2 linked regions of the Arabidopsis thaliana genome follow. The protein of the gene in region 1 interacts with the protein of each later gene in a pairwise test. Each region holds a gene or a part of one and is shown in the gene's direction. Other genes may lie near its edges.

Region 1 (5,195 bases):
TTAGAAAACCACATTCATTTAACCTATTTTAGAAAGTTAAAAATATTTGATCCTTTCAAACTTTCCCACTGTATATACTCCCATATTCAACCAGCTGTGTGTAGGGTTTATCAGTTGTACATTTAAAAACAAACAAATAATCTACTCATAAATATATAAAATTTCATAAAAAAAGAATTTGTTGTAACACATTGATTCTCCTTGAAAGGTTTGTGTCGGCTGTTCCAATCTATGACAAAACCGAAACTCAACCAAAAACAAAAAAAAACATTAAAGAATAAAAGAAATAAACGAAATATACAGAAATTGAAATAAGAATAACATTTATTAAGATGGACACAAAGCCGTTAGCTTCGTTCCGTTAAGGAACGTCTCTACGAAACAAATTGGCGTCCAAGTCTTTCGTTTTTGGCCACTTTCACCAACTTCGCGTCCGACACAGCTACCTTATTTATTTCATTTTTCATCATCTTCTTTCGAATTCTACTTTTTCTATTATTTATTACACAACCTCCTTAGATCCTTTGGGACATGGAATCGACCCATCATAACTTTTCTTTTCATTTTATTGTTTTGCGTATAAATACATTTTCTTCATGTAGGTCAAATGAATCACTTGATTATTTAAGAAAATATGTTTATTTGTTAGTCAACTAATTGGATTTTTTCGTTCCAAGTAAGGAAATTGGGTAGTCACCAACTGGTTGTTAAGGTCCTTTAATCCCTCAATTAAGCAATTGAGCAGACACAACACTTCTTCCTCAAAGCAACATTTCTGGCAAATCAAAATTCTCTAGGCCTAGGGATACTTTAGTAATTTTAATTACTTTATATTCAATATATTGATTTGTTGACAATTCTACTTATATCTTTATTTTTAATATGTAAATAATAGGAAGATATTGAAAAAATGGAGTTAATTAGTTTCCTCTTTTGCACGTCACTTAATAAGAGTATGTGTGTCCAATGTATTACGCGAAGAAACAAGTATATAACGTATAAACAGTAGGAGACCTCAAAAGATGTTTAATTTTAATTTTGATCACAATCTTTTTAGAGAGTTCCGTCGTTATAATAATTTAACAATTATACATCAAAACATCATAGATTAGTTATGAAGTATCATGTCACGTAACACATGTTTCTCGTTCGCTTATAACCAGGGATCTGCAATTATGTAAAGAAATTAATAAAAGCATCTGTTGGTTCAGACTAACCCATGATTTTATCATCACAACCACAACTAATTTGAGATTGCTTGAGTTAATTTAATCTAACAAAGCTTTGGTGGAAAATTTTAATAGTAAAAAATTTCAACGGTTGCTTGAATTTATGTCCAAGCTATTAATTAAACTTTATAAAAACATAGAATACGAAAACTCAACTCTTTTCTTCATTTTAAAAAACATACTTTATTTTTAATTATATTTATTTGAATATAAGCACCAAGTCAAGTCAATGACAACACTGCACAGTATTCCTTCTGGTTCCAATAATATTCTTTTGTTTTATCAGATAACTTGAAATATAAATGCATATAAAAAGTCGCATTTGTATAAATATTCTCCATTATCTAACAATAATCCTATCAGAGAAAAGGAAAAAAAATATGAAAATTTCCGCTCACGCGTGTTATTCTCTAAATGGTTGGCACAGAAAAAAAACCAACAAAAAATTATTAATTTTAATATAGAAGCTTCGGTTGGAATAGAAAAACAAACAAAAAAGAATTACTGGTAGAGAATAGAGATTGTCAAATTTCTCCATAGGTTAGTGATACACTGATATTTTATTAAACATTAATTAAAAAATCTGGGTTTGTTGTCGAGGTTCCAATGATAAGATGGTTTGGTTCTGTTCTTTGTTAGTGAATGCCAAATAAAGTTTTAAAATAGTATCGGAATTTAATAAAAATCGTCTCTTGGGATTGGGTGTCTTCTCTTTCTTTCTCTCTCTTTTTGTCATCGACTGTTCGAAGTTCTTCTTCTTCTCCCTTTTTATCTCTCTGTTCCCTGATTCAGCCACATCCACAATCTCTCTTTCTCTTTTGTATAGTTTATCATCTAGCTCTTTCTCAGGTTTCATTTCTTTAACTATAATAATTCGATTGTTCTTATTAGTAGCTTCTTGATTCAAAGCTATATGATTGACTTGTTGTACTCTGTTTCTCTTTTTACAAAAAGATTTCCTTTTTCGAATTTTATCATCATCTTCGTCTCTGTTAAATTCTTACAAAAGTATGAAATCATCAGAACTTAAAAAAAATTAACTTTATATCTTTCATGATTTCAAACATCATCCTCTGTTTTTGTTTGCGTCACTGAATTGAAGTGGAAACTTTACCTAGGGTTTTGATATCTTCTTGACCTAAATTGAGTATTTCATATTTTTTTCATTTCTTGAATTCATCTGTAATTGCGGCGTATATAGAGATTAAGATGTTTTAACCTCTTTAAAGAATTGTTCTTTTATTTATCCAGTTTCAGTTTCAAACTCACACGTCTCTCTCTCTCTCTTTCTCTTTTTTCAGACAAAACATCAATCGGATGAAACTCACTTAAACAACAAAACACTTTCGATTTATTATCCAATGGCTGTGTATTACCCTAATAGTGTCGGCATGCAATCTCTTTACCAAGAATCCATTTACCTCAACGAACAACAACAACAACAACAACAAGCTTCTTCTTCCTCTGCTGCATCTTTCTCCGAGATTGTTTCCGGTGATGTTCGAAACAACGAGATGGTATTTATCCCACCAACAAGCGACGTAGCCGTCAACGGAAACGTAACGGTGTCAAGTAACGATCTAAGCTTTCACGGTGGAGGACTTTCTTTAAGTCTTGGTAATCAGATCCAGTCAGCTGTCTCTGTTTCTCCGTTTCAGTATCATTACCAGAATCTTTCGAACCAATTGAGTTACAATAATCTTAATCCTTCTACTATGTCTGATGAGAATGGGAAGAGCTTGAGTGTTCATCAGCATCACTCTGATCAAATTTTACCTTCCTCTGTTTACAACAACAATGGTAATAATGGTGTTGGATTCTACAACAATTACCGTTACGAGACATCAGGGTTTGTGAGTAGTGTACTGAGATCTCGTTACCTTAAACCAACACAACAATTGCTTGATGAAGTTGTTAGTGTAAGGAAAGATTTGAAATTGGGGAATAAGAAGATGAAGAATGATAAAGGTCAAGACTTTCACAATGGGTCTAGTGATAACATTACAGAAGATGATAAATCTCAATCGCAGGAGTTGTCTCCTTCAGAACGTCAGGAGCTACAGAGCAAGAAGAGCAAGCTTTTAACAATGGTGGATGAGGTAAGACTAAATCAAATTTGAATACTTTAAAGTGAGAGAGAGACTTTGGAGTTTTGAGTTTTGAAAACATTTTTGCAGGTAGATAAAAGGTATAACCAATACCATCATCAAATGGAAGCTTTAGCATCGTCTTTCGAGATGGTAACAGGTCTTGGAGCAGCTAAGCCTTACACATCCGTAGCTCTGAATAGAATCTCTCGCCATTTCCGCTGTTTACGCGACGCGATAAAAGAACAGATTCAGGTGATCAGAGGGAAGCTTGGGGAGAGAGAGACTTCTGATGAACAAGGAGAGAGGATACCGCGTCTTAGGTACTTAGATCAACGGTTGAGACAACAGAGAGCTTTGCATCAACAACTTGGAATGGTTAGACCAGCTTGGAGACCACAAAGAGGCTTACCTGAAAACTCTGTCTCTATACTTCGAGCTTGGCTCTTTGAGCATTTCCTTCATCCGTAAGTTTGTTGTTTGTAAGACACTTTCTTTCTGCTCCTCATTGCTTCATTGATAACCATTTCAATCGTTTTTGTAGATATCCTAAAGAATCAGAGAAAATCATGCTTTCAAAGCAGACAGGACTATCGAAAAACCAGGTTCTTATTGGCTCAATCTTTGGTCTTGCTTTTATATGAGTGGTATTCTGATTCTTGGCAATTTAGGTTGCAAATTGGTTTATTAACGCGAGAGTTCGACTATGGAAACCAATGATTGAAGAGATGTATAAAGAAGAGTTTGGAGAATCAGCAGAGTTACTCTCTAACTCTAATCAAGACACCAAAAAAATGCAGGAAACATCTCAGCTCAAACACGAAGACTCTTCGTCTTCGCAACAACAGAATCAGGGAAACAACAACAACAACATCCCATATACATCTGATGCAGAACAAAACCTAGTCTTTGCAGATCCTAAACCAGACCGTGCTACTACTGGAGATTACGACAGCTTGATGAACTATCATGGGTTTGGTATTGATGATTACAATCGTTACGTTGGCCTTGGAAACCAACAAGATGGCAGATATTCTAATCCCCATCAATTACACGACTTTGTTGTCTAAAAGATTCCTGAGCTTTTCACAAGCTTAAGAACTGGCAATGCCAGTTGATTGGGGGAGTATGATTCTTGAAGCGCAAGAAAATGCGCTCTTGGCATTTTTATAGATAGGGGTTATACAAATATGTATATCTGTAATATTTGTTGTGGCATATATAAAGGATAGATTTTGTGAAAACTTTAGGTGTTAGACTTTACATTTGTATATGAAAATTGAGCTTTGTGTACACTTTGGTAAGCCGATATTGTAATGTTTTTGTTTATAATCTTCATGATGGTATAAACAATACTTTTAAGTGTGAACAAACTGAAAAAGATTTGATCTAATTTCCTCATTTTGTTACAAGAATTGGAACAGATTTTGAGTTCCTCTGAAACTTGTGTAAACAACGAAACGTTACACAACTTTTTAAACATTCTCTGTAAATGGTTGGCAAATTCTCAAATCTTTTCTAAAATGACAAGTTTGTTTCATTACTGAAAATTATCCCCACAGGTTACAATGAAACACACAAAATATCCAAAAAGAAAGTTAAAACACAGCTCTAAAGGCTATAGCTGAACCTGAATATCTGTTTTATACAAAGCTTTCCTAAATAACCCGCATGCCTCTGATCCAGATGGAGGGGTTTCATCATAGCGGAGATGTCTGATTAAGTCCCTGAAATGTGTGTATTATTGGTTATTTACAGGAATGTTTCATTTCTCTAGCAAATCAGGATTGAATATTCAGTGTATGGATCTTTACCTCTATGCTTGAAGAAGACCGGTTATTTCGATGTCTAGACCAGAATCCCTTCTTCAATGCAGAGT
Region 2 (4,755 bases), on another chromosome or scaffold:
GACAATCTTCTCCATAAGTTGAGGTTGACCTCTCACAAAATCATTGCATGCAAATTGCATTACTTGTCCATGCTCAAATTTTCTAAAGCCCTATACGGTACGTTAGGTACACCAACATATAGCAACATTACAACATCACAAAATATTTTATACTTATTCTTGGCCAAAGAATCTACAAAACTTACAAATTTAAAAACGAATACATTTGAACTCGATCGAGATGTGAATAAAATGATCGTTATTTTCCATTGATCAATATCTAGAAAATATACTATGAAGTTATAGTTTTAATTTAACAGTAGCAATGACAAATTTTTCTTTTACAGAAGCCACCTCTCGTACAGCCTTGAAGACACCACTTGTTACAACTTTTATTAGTACATATTCCAAATTCGGGGTGATCGTTGCAACACAATGAATCTCCTTTGTTGGAAGACAAAATTGAATCTTCATTCATCACTTTTGTGGCTTCAATATCTGCAAAATAACATAGACATACATGCGTATAATCATATATACCACATATTCAAGATTTTGGTTTTAAAGAATAGTAATCGAAATGAAAAAAAAAAATGCTCAATACGGTGTTGATCTAATGAGACTAACCTGCAAGTAAAACGGAGAGAGCGAGGAAAGCGAAGAAAACAAATCTTGGATGGACCATTTTTTTTTTTCTAACGTACTAACTCTATAATTATTGTTTATTATATTACTTATGAGAAATGTAGACTTGTTAAGTTTGATATATATATAGGGTTTTTAATTGTTTGCTACTAAAGTTTTTTTCCGTTAATTTTCTTGCTAATAAAGGTAGGCATTGAATTCTATATTGAAGGCATATCAACAATTTTCTTAGTATCAGCAAGGAAATGATATGGTACTCAAAATAACATTGCAATTTGCAATGATGATGATACAATTGGTACATTTGTAGAAACAATTGAATTCATGTAAACAAAAATCCAGTAAACTACAAAACAGTTCAACGTTTTGTATCAGAAAATCACTTGAATGGATCCGATCGCAAGTCAATGATTTTTAATGATTAGTTTCCTTAGATTTATAAAGTTAACAAACATAAGTAATGCATGATTGGCTCATTGAAAACATGCATGATTTAAAAAGATTATGAAAGATTCTTAATCCAATTTATTTCAAAGGAAACAAATCTTGAATAAGCCATCTTTTTAACACTCTACGTAGTGTTTTATTAGTATCGTTATTTGACATAAGAACTGTAGAATTGTTTACGAATGAGTTTTTTTTGTTTGCTAATAAAGTTATTAAATTATATTGAACGTAAATATTAAACACTTTTTTTTTGTAACATCGATTATATTCCTAATATTGTTCTTGAACTACTATTTTAGTATCAATAAGATGATGATATGTTATTCATGGAAACATGCATTGCTGAATGATATTATTGGAGTACAATGGTAAACGAAAATCGAGTCAACTAAAACAGTCCAAAGGTGACTTGATGTCGTTCAAAATCTTAAAAGTTTGAAAGAAACCAATCAAAGAAATATGAAAAAAAATAATGTTTTCATCTATCAAACAAATTAGAATAATGTTTTCAAATAATTATTACATAAAATTATAATTACATCATGCACTCTTCTTTATCAATAAAAACATAACGGGGTCCGTATCGTCCCTATCACCAAGTTTGAAGTAGCAGTGATATAATAACGTCTTGTCCCATTTGATAATATGACTAATAGACAGTCTCCAAAAAAAATCTTAAAAGATAATTATAATTACATTTTTTGTATTTATCTTTTGGGTGAGAAAAAATAATAAATACAGGATGGGGTATTATTCTTTTATTCCTTTTCACATTGGAGAGTAGAAGGGACTGAAATTGGTGAATGCTTCAATGCAAAGTCTTGACAATATAAGTGACACAAAAAACAAATGTAAATACACTAAAAAAAGCTTCTATATCCCCATTTTAATGTGTATTAATATTATACATCTATATAGAATAAAGAAGAAAAAAGAAAAACCATGAACAAGTTGGTGGGGGTGACACAAACCATACCTCAAGGTAGGTGATATATCCATATGGAGAGATTTTTAGCTGTTCTTTTAAAGTTAGGACCACTTCTTCCTCAAAACTTCACAAAAATCTCTAACTTTGAGATAACACTAAATCCATCAACTTTACCTTCTTCATGATTAAGAAAAAAACATACATCTCTCAGTCTAGGACCATAGAGACCAGGACCGGGACCAATCATGTTGTTGTGTTGGATGAAACTCGGGTTTCGAGGTTAATTCTGTACAGATTTTGCTACATGACTAGGGGTGTAATCATGTAACCTTTGCAAAGGCACTAGATTCCATGATCTAAGAACTCAATGTTATTACGGTATTAAGACAGCTACTAGAAAACTAAAAGATGGGAGGATTCTTGTGGTTCTTGGGTTGGTCACGTTACTCCGAAAGAAGAGAAAGGGAGAGAGAGAGCCAAAGTCTTTGTCATCAATGAAGTTTGGTTTTTGATTGATAAAATTGGTCCCCCACTTTGGTATAAATTCCAGAACATACCCAGAGATAACAGAACCAATAAAAGAAAAAGTTATTTAGGCAAAAAGTGGTCACAGGATTCTTCAGGCGGGTTTGGTTCTTTTTTTCAAACTACAACTAGCTTTTACCCGTTAAGACAACATCTTCATCTCCCTCCTATTAAACACAACGACCTAACCATATTACAGCAGTAAGCTCTAGATACATATCCCTTCATTTTTTATACATCTTTTCATAGTCTAGCCTAAGAAACCCGGTAAACTAAGAAAGCACAAAACTTCTTCAGATTCTTGGAATGATGAGATGGGGAAGAAAGAAACCTGTTTCTTCTTCTTCTTCTTCCGGGTTGTCTCGTGCTCTTCCTGTTTCTTGGTTTTCAAAGTTAAGTGGTTCTTCTGACTTGAAACCTGCAAAAGAGAAGAAGCAAGATGAAAAAGCTAGCCAGAACATATCTGTAAAAACTTCCTTGAGTTCTACTACACGTCGAAGTGATATTCATGAGAACAGCAAAAGGTTTCAAAGAGTATCAGTAGAAAAGGAGAACTCTGCAACAAGATCAGCAGATAAAGAGTCGAATGAGAAGTTTGAAGAGATAATGAGCAGTGTGAGGAAGAAAGTAAGAGATTTCCAAAAAGAGACATGTGGTTTTCTGGAAGTGGAGGCAATGGATAGAGACAACGGAACTGTGATCCTGACGCCAAGAATTCAGGTGAACAGAGATAAACAGAGATGTGAGAGACGTGACCAAAGGCTTCTTGAACAAAAGCCAAAGAGATCAGAACAAGACGCGGGGGTCAAGGTGAAAAAACCAGCTAGAAGGACAGGTACAGGAGGTTACAGTAGAGAAGATTCCGTGATTCTTGGTCATACCATAACAAAACCGGCTCATCAGTGGGAAAAGCTCAAGGAAGTCAAACTAAGAGAAGTGAAGCTGAAGGCTGACCAACAGAGGAAATCTCTGTACCTAAAAAGGGAGCTAAACAGAATAGGAACAAAAGAAAACAACAAAGTTAGAGTTTTTTCACCAAGAGCATCTGAAAAATGCAGAGTTAAAGCTATTGAAGACTTGAAAAAGGCCAAACAGAGAGCACGGGAGCACGAGCTTCTGATAGAAACAGCAGATGGAGGAATGGAGAACGAAAGCTTTGCAGTAGTGAAATGCTCAAGTGATCCTCAGAAGGATTTTAGAGATTCAATGATTGAGATGATTATGGAGAATGGTATCAACCATCCAGAAGAACTCAAAGAGCTTCTGGTTTGTTATCTCAGACTCAATACAGATGAATATCATGACATGATCATCAGTGTGTTCCAGCAGGTGCATAATGATTTTAATTTTCATTAATTTTGGTGTAGAATAGTAACATATAGATTCATCAGTATGATTTGTGGATAGTTTAAGCTTTCTACGATGTAACTTCATGCTTCTTGGTAATACTAAAACTGATAACAATTCTATAAAATTGACAGAATAAGATTAATATAGTTTCTGGAAATTACCAATTTTTAGTCGATTCTTAGTCCTTCACCAGCTAAGAACTCATGGACAACTCCGTCAACTTCAGTCATGCTACATCCAGGCTTCTGTTTACTCTTTCTGCTCTCATGTTTCTTCTACCGTCTATAACCTTCTCCCACCTTCCATCTGAGGCATACAAATTTGACATCTGAGCATAACCTGAACTATCACGTAGATTCAATTCCAGTAACCGATTCGCTATACGCTCTGCTTGTTCCAATTGTCCAAACCTCTTACAGGCACCAAGAAGAGATTCTAGTAAAATGGAAGCCTCATCTGCTGGAATCTCGTTCACAAGTTCTTCTGCTTCCTCAATTTTTCCCATCCGACCAAGCAAATCCACCATACAACCATAGTGTTCAATAGTAGGTTCAACCCTGTAAACACTACTCATCATTTCAAAAAGTTTGCGAGCTTGGTCTAACATACCCACATGATTACAGGCCGACAGAACACCAATAAATGTGATACCATTTGGTTTAAAACCTTCATACACCATCTCCGAGAAGATCTCTAAAGCATCTTTTCCAAGACCGTGAACACTCAAATCCGAGATTATCGAGTTCCATGTACTGACATCTCTCTTTGAAGTAGCTCTAAACACTTCAAGAGCCTTGTCAATTTTCCCACACTTCGAATACATATCCACAAGAGCTGTAGCCAAAAACCCTTCAATCTCAATCCCATGCTTGTCTATGTAA

What was found. The genes of interacting proteins can lie anywhere in the genome.
Region 2: the proteins of BLH3 (region 1) and OFP5 interact in a two-hybrid assay, tested with the Arabidopsis thaliana proteins (one large-scale study listed by BioGRID).

The regions. Positions count from the first base shown.
Region 1 is NC_003070.9:28,299,286-28,304,480, reverse strand, and holds BLH3 (BEL1-like homeodomain 3), read left to right. Parts: upstream 1-1,752; 5' UTR 1,753-2,078; exon of another isoform or gene 2,079-2,530; 5' UTR 2,531-2,590; coding exon 2,591-3,328; intron 3,329-3,406; coding exon 3,407-3,783; intron 3,784-3,860; coding exon 3,861-3,921; coding exon of another isoform or gene 3,922-3,960; exon of another isoform or gene 3,961-3,987; coding exon 3,988-4,386; 3' UTR 4,387-4,695; downstream 4,696-5,195. Other genes in the region: AT1G75400 (RING/U-box superfamily protein), read right to left, coding at 5,017-5,043, 5,131-5,195. UniProt on the Arabidopsis thaliana protein: Transcription factor that is responsive of the nuclear import of SHOOT MERISTEMLESS (STM).
Region 2 is NC_003075.7:10,334,619-10,339,373, forward strand, and holds OFP5 (ovate family protein 5), read left to right. Parts: upstream 1-1,947; 5' UTR 1,948-2,830; coding exon 2,831-3,880; 3' UTR 3,881-4,056; downstream 4,057-4,755. Other genes in the region: AT4G18823 (Defensin-like (DEFL) family protein), read right to left, coding at 293-459, 607-664; AT4G18840 (Pentatricopeptide repeat (PPR-like) superfamily protein), read right to left, coding at 4,101-4,755. UniProt on the Arabidopsis thaliana protein: Transcriptional repressor that regulates multiple aspects of plant growth and development through the regulation of BEL1-LIKE (BLH) and KNOX TALE (KNAT) homeodomain transcription factors. Required for embryo development.